Sus scrofa: one gene and its partners. The protein of the gene in region 1 binds, or shares a complex with, the protein of each later gene. Links are inferred from orthologs where the notes say so. Each region holds a gene or a part of one and is shown in the gene's direction. Other genes may lie near its edges.

Evidence for each region.
Region 2: RBBP7 (region 1) and CHD4 share a complex: the UniProt entries of both Homo sapiens proteins name them as parts of the nucleosome remodeling and deacetylase (NuRD) repressor complex. The link is inferred for Sus scrofa from reciprocal best matches to the Homo sapiens genes RBBP7 and CHD4.
Region 3: RBBP7 (region 1) and CDK2AP1 share a complex: the UniProt entries of both Homo sapiens proteins name them as parts of the nucleosome remodeling and deacetylase (NuRD) repressor complex. The link is inferred for Sus scrofa from reciprocal best matches to the Homo sapiens genes RBBP7 and CDK2AP1.

The regions. Positions count from the first base shown.
Region 1 is NC_010461.5:13,309,992-13,313,594, reverse strand, and holds part of RBBP7 (histone-binding protein RBBP7), read left to right. Parts: intron 1-2,600; coding exon 2,601-2,746; intron 2,747-3,603. UniProt on the Homo sapiens protein: Core histone-binding subunit that may target chromatin remodeling factors, histone acetyltransferases and histone deacetylases to their histone substrates in a manner that is regulated by nucleosomal DNA.
Region 2 is NC_010447.5:64,070,337-64,074,527, forward strand, and holds the start of CHD4 (chromodomain-helicase-DNA-binding protein 4), read left to right. Parts: upstream 1-1,290; 5' UTR 1,291-1,528; intron 1,529-1,933; exon of another isoform or gene 1,934-2,235; intron 2,236-2,377; 5' UTR 2,378-2,455; coding exon 2,456-2,555; intron 2,556-4,191. UniProt on the Homo sapiens protein: ATP-dependent chromatin-remodeling factor that binds and distorts nucleosomal DNA. Acts as a component of the histone deacetylase NuRD complex which participates in the remodeling of chromatin.
Region 3 is NC_010456.5:29,629,920-29,633,984, forward strand, and holds the start of CDK2AP1 (cyclin-dependent kinase 2-associated protein 1), read left to right. Parts: upstream 1-1,164; 5' UTR 1,165-1,419; coding exon 1,420-1,474; intron 1,475-1,867; exon of another isoform or gene 1,868-1,977; intron 1,978-4,065. UniProt on the Homo sapiens protein: Inhibitor of cyclin-dependent kinase CDK2. Also acts as a component of the histone deacetylase NuRD complex which participates in the remodeling of chromatin.

The DNA.
Region 1 (3,603 bases):
AACCTCCTAAGGCTGGCCTTCTGTGTGTGTATAACGTGCTTCCGAATGATTACTTGCCCTCGTGGAGCTGTTGTCCTTCAGTTCAGTTAGGTGATAATCCAGAAAATTGATTTGACTCTTTTATATTTTTTATTTTGGTACCTCTAAGAAATTATTTAAATGGCGGGTCATTATTTCATCTCTGTTTGTCCCTCTCCCACTCACCCACCCCTTTTTCTCTTTCTCTTTTTTGGCTGCACCCACAGCATGTGGAAGTTCCCTGGGCCAGGATTCAAACCTGTGCCACAGCAGCCACCCAAGCCACTGCAGTGACAATGCCAGATCCTTAATCTGCTGTGACACAAGAGAACTCCCTTGAATAATTTCTTAAACATGTCGAGCCGGAACTCTCTACCTAAAAAGCTGTGTAATTACGCAAGTTCCGATACAGACTGCATAGAGTGAAAAAAATAAGGTCCTCTTCCACGTCCTCTCTCTCGTTCCCTCACCCAGAGCAGAAGCAGTCCTTATTTGCTTTCTTATCCATCCTGCCCGGCGTGAAGAAGGACATGCGACATCCTTCCGTCTTTTTCTCTGGTAGCAAGTTGTTCACTTGACTTTTTAATTAGGAGTTCATAATGGAAACTTTTTCATATTGACATGCTTAGATATGGGCTCTTGTTTTGAGGGCTCCATAGAATTTGATTTATGGGTATGTTTTTGTCACCACTTCTTTGCTGATGGATATTTGTTTTCAGTCTTTTGCTGCTTCCGCCAGTGCTGCTGAGAATAACCTTGTAATAATCTGTGATTGTTGGTTGAATTTCGTAGCAAAATTCAAAGTGGTCCAAGGATTCTGGCCTGGGAATGGACAAGGTCTTTTATCATTAGTGCTTCTGCAGCCTTAGGTGCATCCAGTTTTGGAGGAAAATGGTGTGATATTGATTGACTCAAGAAAACAGATTTGTATTTTAATTATGGAGATGAAAAAAAGGATTTTTAGTAAAAGGAAAAATCCTTATATGATGGAGTCAGGGGAAACTGGAATAACTGAATTTTAGAGTCTAAGGGAGTTTTTAATTAAGATGCTCCAGACTTTGCACTCCCATTCCTTAGAAAGCTCCTATGTGAATGGGTGTGTTTACCTGTATGTAACTTGTACCTGTTGGTTTTAGTATTTCTGCTTAATGCCATAAAAAACAAGTCATTTTCTTCCTTTTATGTCATCCATAACATTGTGGGGCCTTTCAAGTATTCCTAATCTCTTTCCAAATGGTTTTCATATGAGATGTGTTGAAGTCCACTTTGATTTGAAGCCACTATTCCCTATAAAGATTTCATTCTGAGTCCTAAAGTACATTGCCTAGAGCCTAATATTCTAAGTGTGGTTTTTCCAGTTCAGAATAGGTGGGTGAGTGCTCATGCGTATTGCCTCTCCCTCCCTGTGTAAGTTTATCTAAGATGAAATTAATTACTTTCTTCGAGAGCCACATCATCTTTGCCCACTGAACGTATTTTATTTCAGACCCGTGTCTTTTTTTCACATAAGCTGCTGTTGCTAAGCCATGGATGCCTTATTCTGTTCTTGGAGTTTTTGTGTGTTTATTGCTCTTTTTTTACCTCAAGCCAAATCTTGGTAAAATTTTGTCTTGTATTTTTTCAGTTATTACTAAGTTACATGCCTGGAGATAAATCCCTAAGCCTTTTTTCTAAACCACTGAAGCCTTTGTACTACTGAAATTTAGTTATACATAAATAGTCTTAAGTCGTCTGCTATTTGTTGGGGCTCAGAGCCCTACTTCTCAGTCCCCCTCACTGAGCTGGGACCATGGAACACGGGTGAAAATTGCTATTCTAGATAATACGAATGGGAATGCATTGTTAATAAATACAGGTGCACAATCATTGCTTGGACCAGGGTGTCAGGAGGCATCAGTGTCTTTTTCAGCCTCAAAGTGAGTTTATAAAGGGTAGGGAAACAAAGACCCTTCTTCCGTAAAAATGAGAATGCTCATTTAAGCACCGTAAACATAAATAAGGGGTTTTTACATCATGCTGTTTGCACTCATAACCTGTTTTTTAGGTGAAGAAACTGAGGCTTGTAAGGAAGCTGTGATTTAAGGAATTGCATATAGCTAATTTTAGTTTGAGCCAGGATTTAAACCCAGTGTTTCTGACTCAACCCTTTATTCTTTCATTCTACTTTGTTGCCTCTTATTGAGAGAGCAGAAGCATCTAGAGTATTAAAATTAAAGGCTTTTTGAGGAGTTCCCGTTGGTGGCACAGTGGAAATAAATCCGACTAGGCACCATGAGGTTGTAGTTCGATCCCTGGCCTCGCTCCGTGGGTTAAGGATCCGGTGTTGCGGCGAACTGTGGTGTAGATCGCAGACTCGGCTTGGATCTGGTGTGGCTGTGGCTGTGGTGTAGGCTGGCAGCTGTAGCTCCGATTGGACCCCTAGCCTGGGAACCTCCATATGCCGCCAATGCGGCCCAAAAAGGGGGGGGGGAGGGGTTAGGTGAGAGGTCATGATTTATGAATTCAGGGATCGGTGATGGACTGAATTTGTTAGCAACTGATTTCTAGTAGGATTAGTATGACTTATTTTCTTTCCTAAACAGACCGGAAGGAAAGGATTATGCCCTTCATTGGCTAGTGCTGGGGACTCACACATCTGATGAGCAGAATCATCTCGTGGTTGCTCGGGTCCATATTCCGAATGATGATGCACAGTTTGATGCTTCCCACTGTGACAGTGAGAAGGGTGGTAGGTATACTGTATATTCCAATATCGGTGTCTAAAGGAGTAGGCCTCTAATGATATGTTATTAACACTCTGTCCTAATAGCTTTTGGCCCAGCGGTTTAACTTCTAGGACTTTATCTTACACAACTTCTCACCCACATGTGCGTTAGGATTTGACAGTAGCATTATTTGCAGGATTGAAAAATTAGGCTCAACCTTGCAACTCCATTGTTAGTTCATCGGAAGTCATTTAAACAAATTGTGGTATGTTTGAAATACTGTGCAGCATTTACCACGAATGAGAGAACTCTGAAATTTCATAAACACATACACCGAGTGAGGTAAATCTGTATGCACTGGTATGGAAAGGTGTCCAAGATAAATTGAGTAACTGGTGTGTGTGATTATAGTAACTATTTTGGTAACACTAAGAATATTGCTATGCATAGGAAAAAGTCAGGCATATACACCAGTTAATAGTGGATTTTTTTTTTTTGGTCTTTTTATATCCGCAACTACGGCATATGTAGGTTCCCAGGCTAGGGGTCCAATCGGAGCTACAGCTGCCAGCCTGCACCACAGCTCAATAGCGGATGTTTTAGGGAAGCTCTTGACCCCCATCCCCCCATCCAAATGTACATTCCCCTGTTTGGGTATTCCCACACCACCCAAGTTTGGTGGTTTTGCTAGGAGGACTCGCAGGATTCAGTAGCACATTATATTCATAGCTGGAATTTGTTACAATGAAGAATACAGAACAAAAGCAGCTGGAAAAAGATAAGGCATCAGGGAGTCTAGGGAGGTCCAGCACAAGTCTCACCCAGGTCCACACAGGATGTGCTTTCTCTTTGGCAGCAACTGACAGGGATACTTGTGGAC
Region 2 (4,191 bases), on another chromosome or scaffold:
GACCAGCTTGGTATTTGGTGGGTCTTACTCAAAATTTAACTGGAGGTAAGTGTTGCTAAGTGTCTGGAGAACATCTGGATTTTGGTGGGATTGGGTGGGGCTCAGTCCAGTTCCTGCATGTCTGAAAATGATGGATGAGGAAAGCTAGAGTCTGTCCTAGACATCAAGAGACTTTGTGCCAGGATACTGCTTTGGGCCATTAAGGGCTGAAGGTGTGTACAAGTTGGGGCGGGGACAGGGCAATGTGGATAGCCTGCTTCACCCTTGCTGGTGTGGGAGTTAGGGTTTTAGACTGACAGCCTCTGGAGATGGGGGAGGGATGAGTATAAATATTATGGGATGCCTGACTGGAAAGGTATAGGGGTGGTAGAGATGAGCATTATGGGACCTGACTCTGGGTTGTGTTGGGAGTATTATTGTATGTTTGCTTGACCACAGGTTCTTTGTCATTATTATGGGATGTCAGGGTGTGGGTGGGGGAGTAAAATTATGGGATATCTTTCCAGTGCTAGAGGAAAGGAGTTTGGATGTCCATCTGTGAGGTGACTGTAGGGCTGTTGATCATTATGGATATCTCTGATAGAGGAGGAGTGGTTATTATGGGCTGTGGAGTGGGAATGAACGTCTGAAGCCTTGGGGTCGAGTTTTGAGGTTCTAGCCCACAGGGGCTGAGGGCAGCTCCCCAGGGGGTTGGTTATTATGGGATGTCAGTACAGAAAGTGGGAGACTGATTACTACGGGATGTGTGTGGGAAGTGGGAAGAGGCCGAAGTGTCCGTTGTTGGGGGGGGGTGAGTTTCTGACTATTATGGGATATCAAACTGGGGGTGGATGAAGAGTGGTTATTATGGGATGTCTGTGGGGGATGGGGATGAGTATTATGGGATGTGAGCATGAAGAGCGGGTAGGGGTGCTTATTATGGGATGGCCATGGGGAGGGAGAGGTGACGAATTATTATGGGATGTTAGCATTAGGGCCAAGAGTGAAGAAGTTGGCAAAGGATGGCTATTATGGGATGTCTAGGGGAGGGGTAAAGTGTTAGTTGCAAAAGGTCTGCAATATCATGAGATGTCAACATCCCTGGCATATATGTATATGTGTATGGAGTGCGTGCGCGTGGGGGGGTGATGGTTGTGGTGGTGGTGGTGGTACGGTGGTGGTGGTGGTGGTGGTGTCCGTGTGTATTATGGGATGGCCAGGAGGTGGGTGGTTGCCCGGGTGACACGCGCGCGCGCGCTCGAAGGGGGCGTGGCCAGTGGTTGCTGAGCGACGAGGGGGCGGGGGTTGCCCGGGAGACCTAGGGAGGAGGGTGGCGGTAGTGGAGGGGGGGTTGGAGTTGGTTGAGGTTATTATGGGCTGTCCGTGGGGGGGCGGGGCCTGTGCGGTGGGATTTCCCGGCCGGTGTTTCGGGCCCTTTAAGAGGCGACGCTGGAGCCGGAGCCATTTTCCCCCCTTCGGCCGCGGCGAGGAGGAGCCGGAGCGGGAGTGACACCCGGCCGGACCCTGCGCGACCTGCGGCGGCTCCGGGGTGAGGAGAGCGCGGGGTTCCCAGACAGAAGCCCCTCTCATCCCGACCGGCCCCGAGGGTCATCCCTCCACCCAGCCTCTCTTCGGGCGTCCCCGGACCCGCAGACCGCCCCCTGCCCGGGAAGCCGACCCTGCCTCTCCTTCCCCTGCAGGGCGCCCAGCCCCCGCCCTCGCCCTGCCCGACTCTAGCTCTCCGCGACTCCCACCTCGGGCTTTGCCTCCCACAATGCCCGGCGCCCCCCTCGCCCTTTGCTCACTTGCCCCCCGGGACACGTGGCCCGGCCCCCCGCCTGGTGGGAGCCCCGGCCCCCCACGCCCCTGCCTCCAGCCCCCCGGAGCGCCGAGCCTCCACGCCCCCTCGTCCCCGCGGCTTCTCCGGAGAACCCGAGTTGTCCCAGAGGACAGCCTTTGGAGAGCTGCCCTGTCTGGGGACTGGCCCCTCCCCAGGCGCAGGGAGTCGCCCCCCCACCCCCAAGTGACCTTGTGTCCCCAAGCGCCTCGCCGCCGGCCGCCTCCCCCGATCCTCCCCCCACCCCCCCCGCGCCGCGGCCACTCGGACCCCCTCCCCCGACACGCCCGGCTCAGTTCAGCGGCTTCTCCCCTCCCTACGCCGGCACCGGCTTGCCCTCGGGGGCGCCGCTTCCTCCGGTCTGGGGGGCTCCAGCCCGGGAGCCGGCTTCCGGGCTGCCCCTGGGAGTGTGGAACTAAGTTCAGCCTGAGTGGTTCGGGTGCCCTGCTCGGGTGGCTGAGGGGTGGGGGGGCCGGGGGTGGGCGGAAAGCGCGGCGGGGTGGGGGAGGGGGCCGTGCGCGTCACTGACTGTTCTCTTTCTCTCCCCCCTCCCCCGCACAGTGACTCGGGCCAGTGTCGAGGGCCCCAGGCCGCAGGCAGGAGCAGCTGGGCCAATTCCCTGGCCGGGAGCGGAAGGGGATGGCGTCGGGCCTGGGCTCCCCGTCCCCCTGCTCAGCGGGCAGTGAGGAGGAGGATATGGATGCACTTTTGAACAACAGCCTGCCCCCACCCCACCCAGGTAACATCTTCCCCAAGGGCCCCGGGCAGGAAGGAGCCATCTGGGCCCTCCCTAGTGGCTCCGTGAGGCAGGGTTGAGTTTCTGGGCTTGCTCTGTGCAGTGAGAGGTGGAGGGCATCCGAAGGGAGTGGTTCTCTTCTGCGGAGCTCTTGTGCGAGGGGGTTGGAAGCCATGTGCCTCCCGGGCTGCGCGGACCGAGATGCAAGCTTGCTGCACTGCCTTCGGGAATTGCTCTGCAGTTCCCGGTTGAGGGAGCTCTCTGGGCTGGCAGGCTTTGTGGGTCCTTGGAGGAATGCAGGTGGCTGGGACCCCTGGAGGCTGTGCAGTGGGGAAGGGGCTGGGTTGAGGATCGCTTTTGGAGGAGACCAGCCGGGCATCTCTGCCGGTAGGATCCTGTGATTGCTGCTGTGGAAAAGAAAGAGGGAGTGCTGGTTACTCTCTGATTATTTTTAGCTTCTGATCAGTTACCGGCTTTCTGTGCTGTTTCAACTGTGTGAAGTTTGAATTGCGCTCCGAAGCTGGAATCTAGAGTGCTCTTAGCCAGGCAGATTGCTGGAATGTTTTGAGTGGGGCTAGGAGTGGGATGTAGTAGCCTGCAGGGTATACTCCAAGGGACAGAAAGAAGAGAGATGACACTCTGGGCACCTCTCTTCCTCGGGCAAGTGGACTTAATCCTGGCTTTTTTCTCTAGACGGTTCTGCCCTGTGCAGGTAGCCTGGGGTTTGGACTGGTGGTGTGAGGTGTTTGTGTAGGTGTGTTGGGGGTTGTGTTGTCTGTGTTTTGGGGTGGGTCCTTGCACTGGCCAAACCCGAATGGTTATGCATCCTGCCTGGTTGGAATGGCTCTTGTTTGTCCTCAAGTGATGATTGGTGTTATGTGTCTAAGTGAATGTCTCTCTTCTCTGTCTGTCTTCAGATCCCTTAGCTAAGTCACCTCCTTGTTTCCTTGACCTTTTTTTCGTAGCTTTGTTTTTTTCTACGTGCTGTTTCTTCATCTTTTCTGTTTGTGGTTTTATTTTAATTCTGGAGCTTGCTAGTCCTGTATTTGTTTCCCATCAAATGTTTTTCACTTTTGCCTTCTCTCTCCATAGTTCCAACTGCAAGTTGAGGTGGTCTGGGAGAGATGTTTCTACTTTGGCACTTTCTAAGTTGGAAGTCTTCGCTTCAATCCGAGGCCATTTAGGAGAGGGTCAGTCTTGTCATTGAGTCTTCAGCTGTGGGGATGAGAAACTTAGGCTTGAGTCTCATCACTGTGTAGGGCGAGGTGGCAGATTTCTGTGCTGTGGCCCAAGGTGGGGTGGAGAATGGCGGTAGTGGTGAGGTGGTTCCATCCTGGCTTTGAGGGGCATGAGGAGTAGCCGGGCCGTCCAGCCAGCGTTGGTTCCACATCTTGGTTTCCCATTGGCCCCTTGGTCTGGGGCTGCCCCTGTGTTGATTGGGAGCTGTGCAGGCTCCCACGGTGAACTCTGCCCCAAGCTGTAGCGTGACCCAGTTTTTCCACTTGCCACACCTCATTCCTGCCCCTTTCCCAAATCTTCCCCTGTATCTCAGCCAGTTTGTCGCTTGCCGTATCAGTACATCTGCCTGAGAAGTTTGAGGGTCTTATGTGGATGGAAGGTGTCCCCTTGGCCTCCATGG
Region 3 (4,065 bases), on another chromosome or scaffold:
ACATACATACACACATATATATATATACTTACACACACTTCTCACATTATCTTCCATTATGTTCTATCACAAGCGATTGGATATAGTCCCCGGTGCCTAACAGCAGAATCACTGAACATTCTTGGCTGAACCAGCCTAAAGCTTATCACAAGGGGTGCTGAGAAGGGAGTGTCACCTGTACCTTCATTCCTAAAGGGATGGAGGGAAGGCATGGATGGTGTCCCTTTGCTTTCAGGCAAAAAGGTTGATGCCTTCCTCAGTAGATCCGGATGTATCTGAATGTCTGTGGCTAATCAAAAAAATTCGGCAAAGCATGGCGATTACAAAGGGCAGAAAAGGGTGGGCATCTCTTGTATTTTGACAAGATTTACTATTCAAGCAGAACTCCAAGAAATAATACCTTCAAAAGCTTCATCACCTAATGCAAAATACATTTGGTGATTGTGTTTCAGTCAGATCTGAGAAGTGGGCTGGGGTGGGGGTAGAGGAGAGTCAAAAATTGCAAAAAAATTCTCCAGGAGAGAAGAAACTTTGTCAAGTTTATTCTGTATCTTTAGCACCTGGAACAGTGCACCGCACACAGTAGGCGCTTCTTAAGTATCTGAATGTGTTAAGATGCAAAATTGTGTGAATGTTCGGGTGTATTTTCCAGGGGAGGAGGCTGCTGGCTTTTGTACAGTCTCAAAGGTGTCTAGGCCCCTAAAGGGTTAAAACCACTTAATACCGACAGGGACGTGAAATTTATTTGAAATCAATGTCAAAAATTGGTTGTTCTTACTCTGGGGTGTAGCCAGACCTTGGCGTCTGGAAAGATCTACGCGCTTAAAAATACCACTCGCCACCATTTTCTCCAGGTAATTTTCCATCCCTGCCCCCACAGTCCAGGGGGAAAAAAGTAATTCTGCAATCCTACCTAGCTATTAAAAAAATTAATCGGTAAAAGAACAAATCTTCAGGCGCCGCCTGCGTAGAAGAAGAAAGGGACCCACGCGGGCCTCGGGCGCCGCCGGGACCCCAGCCCCCCAAACTTTGCCAAGTTGCGGGCGCCGAGCGCGCCCGGAGGCGCGGGGCGCGGCAGCGGGCGGAGCCGCCCCCTGACGCCGGGCCGCGGCGCGCCGGGCCGCCCCCTCCCGGCCCGGGCCGGCCCCGCTGGCTCCGCTCAAAGTTTGCGGCCGCCCCTGCGCCCGCGCGCCCGCCCGATGTATGGGTGATATACTGCAGCGGGTGTCAGGGTGAGGGACGGCCATATTTGCCGGTGCGGCCCGAGCCGTCAACAACAAAAAGTGCGCGGGAGCTCGGCGGGCGCACGGACGGGCGCACGGACGCCGGGGCCGCCTCGCCGCCGTCCGGCCTCGCCGCCGCCGTCGCCCTCGCGGGCCTGGCCCCGCTGCGCCCCGGCGCGCCCCGCCGCTCGGGGGGATGTCTTACAAACCGAACTTGACCGCGCACATGCCCGCCGCCTCCCTCAACGCCGGTAAGTGAGTGCGCCCTGCGGGCCGCGTGCGCCGCGCCCCAAGTGCGGCCAAGTTGAGGGCCCGCGCGCCCGGCCCCGGCCCCGGCTCCCGGGGACCCGCGGCGGCCGGGGGTGGCAGGCACCGGGTCCCGGCCCGGGGCAGCGGGGCCGCCGCCGCCGCCGCCATGATTCTGGCGCCCACGCCGCCAAAGTTCGCTGGTGCGCCCTGTGCCGCGCCGGGCCTCGGGCCGGGCCGGGGCCCGGGGCGCTGGCTGCCGCCGCGGTCCCCCCCACGCCGGCGGCTGAGGGCTCGCGGGGAGCGCGGCGAGCGAGGGCGGGGGAGGCTTTCTCGGCTCCGTTTTCCTCCGGCTTTTGGGCGGCTCGGCGAGGGCCCCTGCCGGCGGGAGTCGGGAGCGGCCGGGCCGCGCGGGGAGCGGGGCTCCGGGAGCGGGGCGCGGGCCGCCCTTGGGGAGCGGGGGTCAAGCCCGGGCGGGGGCCGAGACTGCTGCGTGCACGTGAGCAAGGTTAGGCCACGCGCGGCAGCGCTGCGGGGTGGCGAGCGTGCCAAGTGCAGCCCGCCCTGAGGGCCCGGGGCCGCTGGGGTCACCGGCGGTGCAGGGGACATCATCGGTGGCGGCTCGGCCTGGCGCGTGGGAGCGGGGTGCCCAAAATGGGGCTCGCGGCAAGGTCCCCTCAGGCGTGTGCGGCAGAATGAGCGAAGTTGAAGACCCGGGGTTTCGGAGTGCCTGCAGGCGGAGGGTGGGGGCGGCATTTCGGCCTGGGGCCCGCATTTCGGGGCCCCGCATCTTGAGCCCCCAACTCTGGGTTTGGAAGGTCCCCTCCCGCAGAAGCCTAGGGGCCGTCCTCTCCCTTCCTTGGGGCTGGAACTGGACGGTCCCAGGAAACTCCTCCAGAAGTTGTCAGGCAGCTTTAGGCTGTGTCCAGGGTCTCCTCCCAAGGACGAAAGGCACCGGGGGGAGGGGAGGGTAAAATTGTGGGGTTCGGGGGTGATTTGCTCTTTCCCTTCACTATAGCCCTTCTCCTTTGGACTCTTGGTGGGAAACAAACTTCCAAAAAGCTAGGCGCGTGGGGGCGTGGGGGGGTGTGATTGGCGGGGAGGAGACTGGCGTCTCTGGTCCGAAATGCCACGCTGGCAGTTGTCCGAAAGTTTTGAGCCTTGTCTCCAAATGGTTGACTCCATAACTCCAAAAATCCTATAGGGGACCCAGAAAAGCAATGCATGTAAATAAATAAATATTTATTTATTTTTTAACTTCTTAGACACAGATTGGGGAGTGGAAAGGGTTAAGATTCAGGATGTGATTGGGTGGGGGATAGCTAAGTTGGTCAAATGTGGGCTCTAAGCCTCAAGAGCAAACAGCCACTATTTTCTCTTCAAATGTTCTCACCTCTTCTGGGGTCTGCAAACCTTATAAAGACAAGCTTTGCTGCCTGTAGTATTTCTCACTGCCTCCTTCATCTGACTGTGGTAAGGATGGAGGGTCTTGCTGCTGCCTGTACAGGTGGGATATCTCAGGCCTGCCCTGGTACAGCTGAGGCAGGGACCCTAAACTGGGACCTTTGGGGACTGGGGTCACGGTGGCAGAGGCAGCCACTCAGCACCCCTGAAGTCCTGTTCTGGGCTGGCTAGCACCTGTGCACAGATTTTCTTCTTTCTCCTCTGGTGAACTCCAGGAGGAGTGCTGAGGTCCCCAGATCTGTGGCAGGCTGCTCCCCTCCCTGTGGACCCCTTTGGAAAGCCCGATCTCCCCCTGCCATTTGCATCCAAGATGGACTCTCCGCTGCCGCTCCTCCGGCTTCCTTGTCATCATCCCTCACGCCCTCCAGCCCTGCCTCCTGCTCGCGAGTTGCCAAGCCGCGGCCTGGCCGGCAGTGGCAGTGGCTGAGTTAGACAAAGCCCCTGCCTCCCCGCCAGAGAGCCCCCCCAGGCGCCCCAAGTGGCGGGAAGGCCGCCAGCTCCCCAGGCCCAGGCTGCTCTTTGTCTGGCGTGGGGGTGGGGAGCCGCGCCTGGCCCCAGGAGCTGCTGGCCTCTGCCAATCCCTCCCTCAGCTCTGGGCCCTCCCTGGTCCCCCGCACACTGCGCACATTGTCTGCGATGCTCCGAGACGGCCGGCCAGCCGTGCTCACGCCCAGTCTGGTTTTCTCCGTGGCCTTCGGCAGCCGCTGGCCCTCCCTGTATCTGCGGGAAGGAGTGGGCATGAGTGGAACTCAGGGCCCTTCTGCAAACTCTCCCTAGGGCCACAGATACCCTCCCCGCCAACAGCAAGTGAGGCCACTGATTCGGGGTCCCTACCACATCACCCAGGGCAAGTCAAGCCCTGGGCTGTTTCCCATCTCCCCCTCCCTCCACACCCCTAACCAAAACGTGGGGGCTCTCCTTCCTCCCTCTTCCCAGAGCTCCCCTAAGACCTAACCCCAGCATTGCGGAGGAGTAGGAGCTAGAGCCTTTAGACATTCTGTTAGGAACCATTGCCTCAAACTGACGGATAAACTGAGGCCCAGAGAGGGAAGGGCCTTGCCTTAAGTCACACAGCTGAACTGGCTCCTAGTCCAGGCCCTTGCCTGTAGGAGAGAAGGTGGGGTCAGGGAGG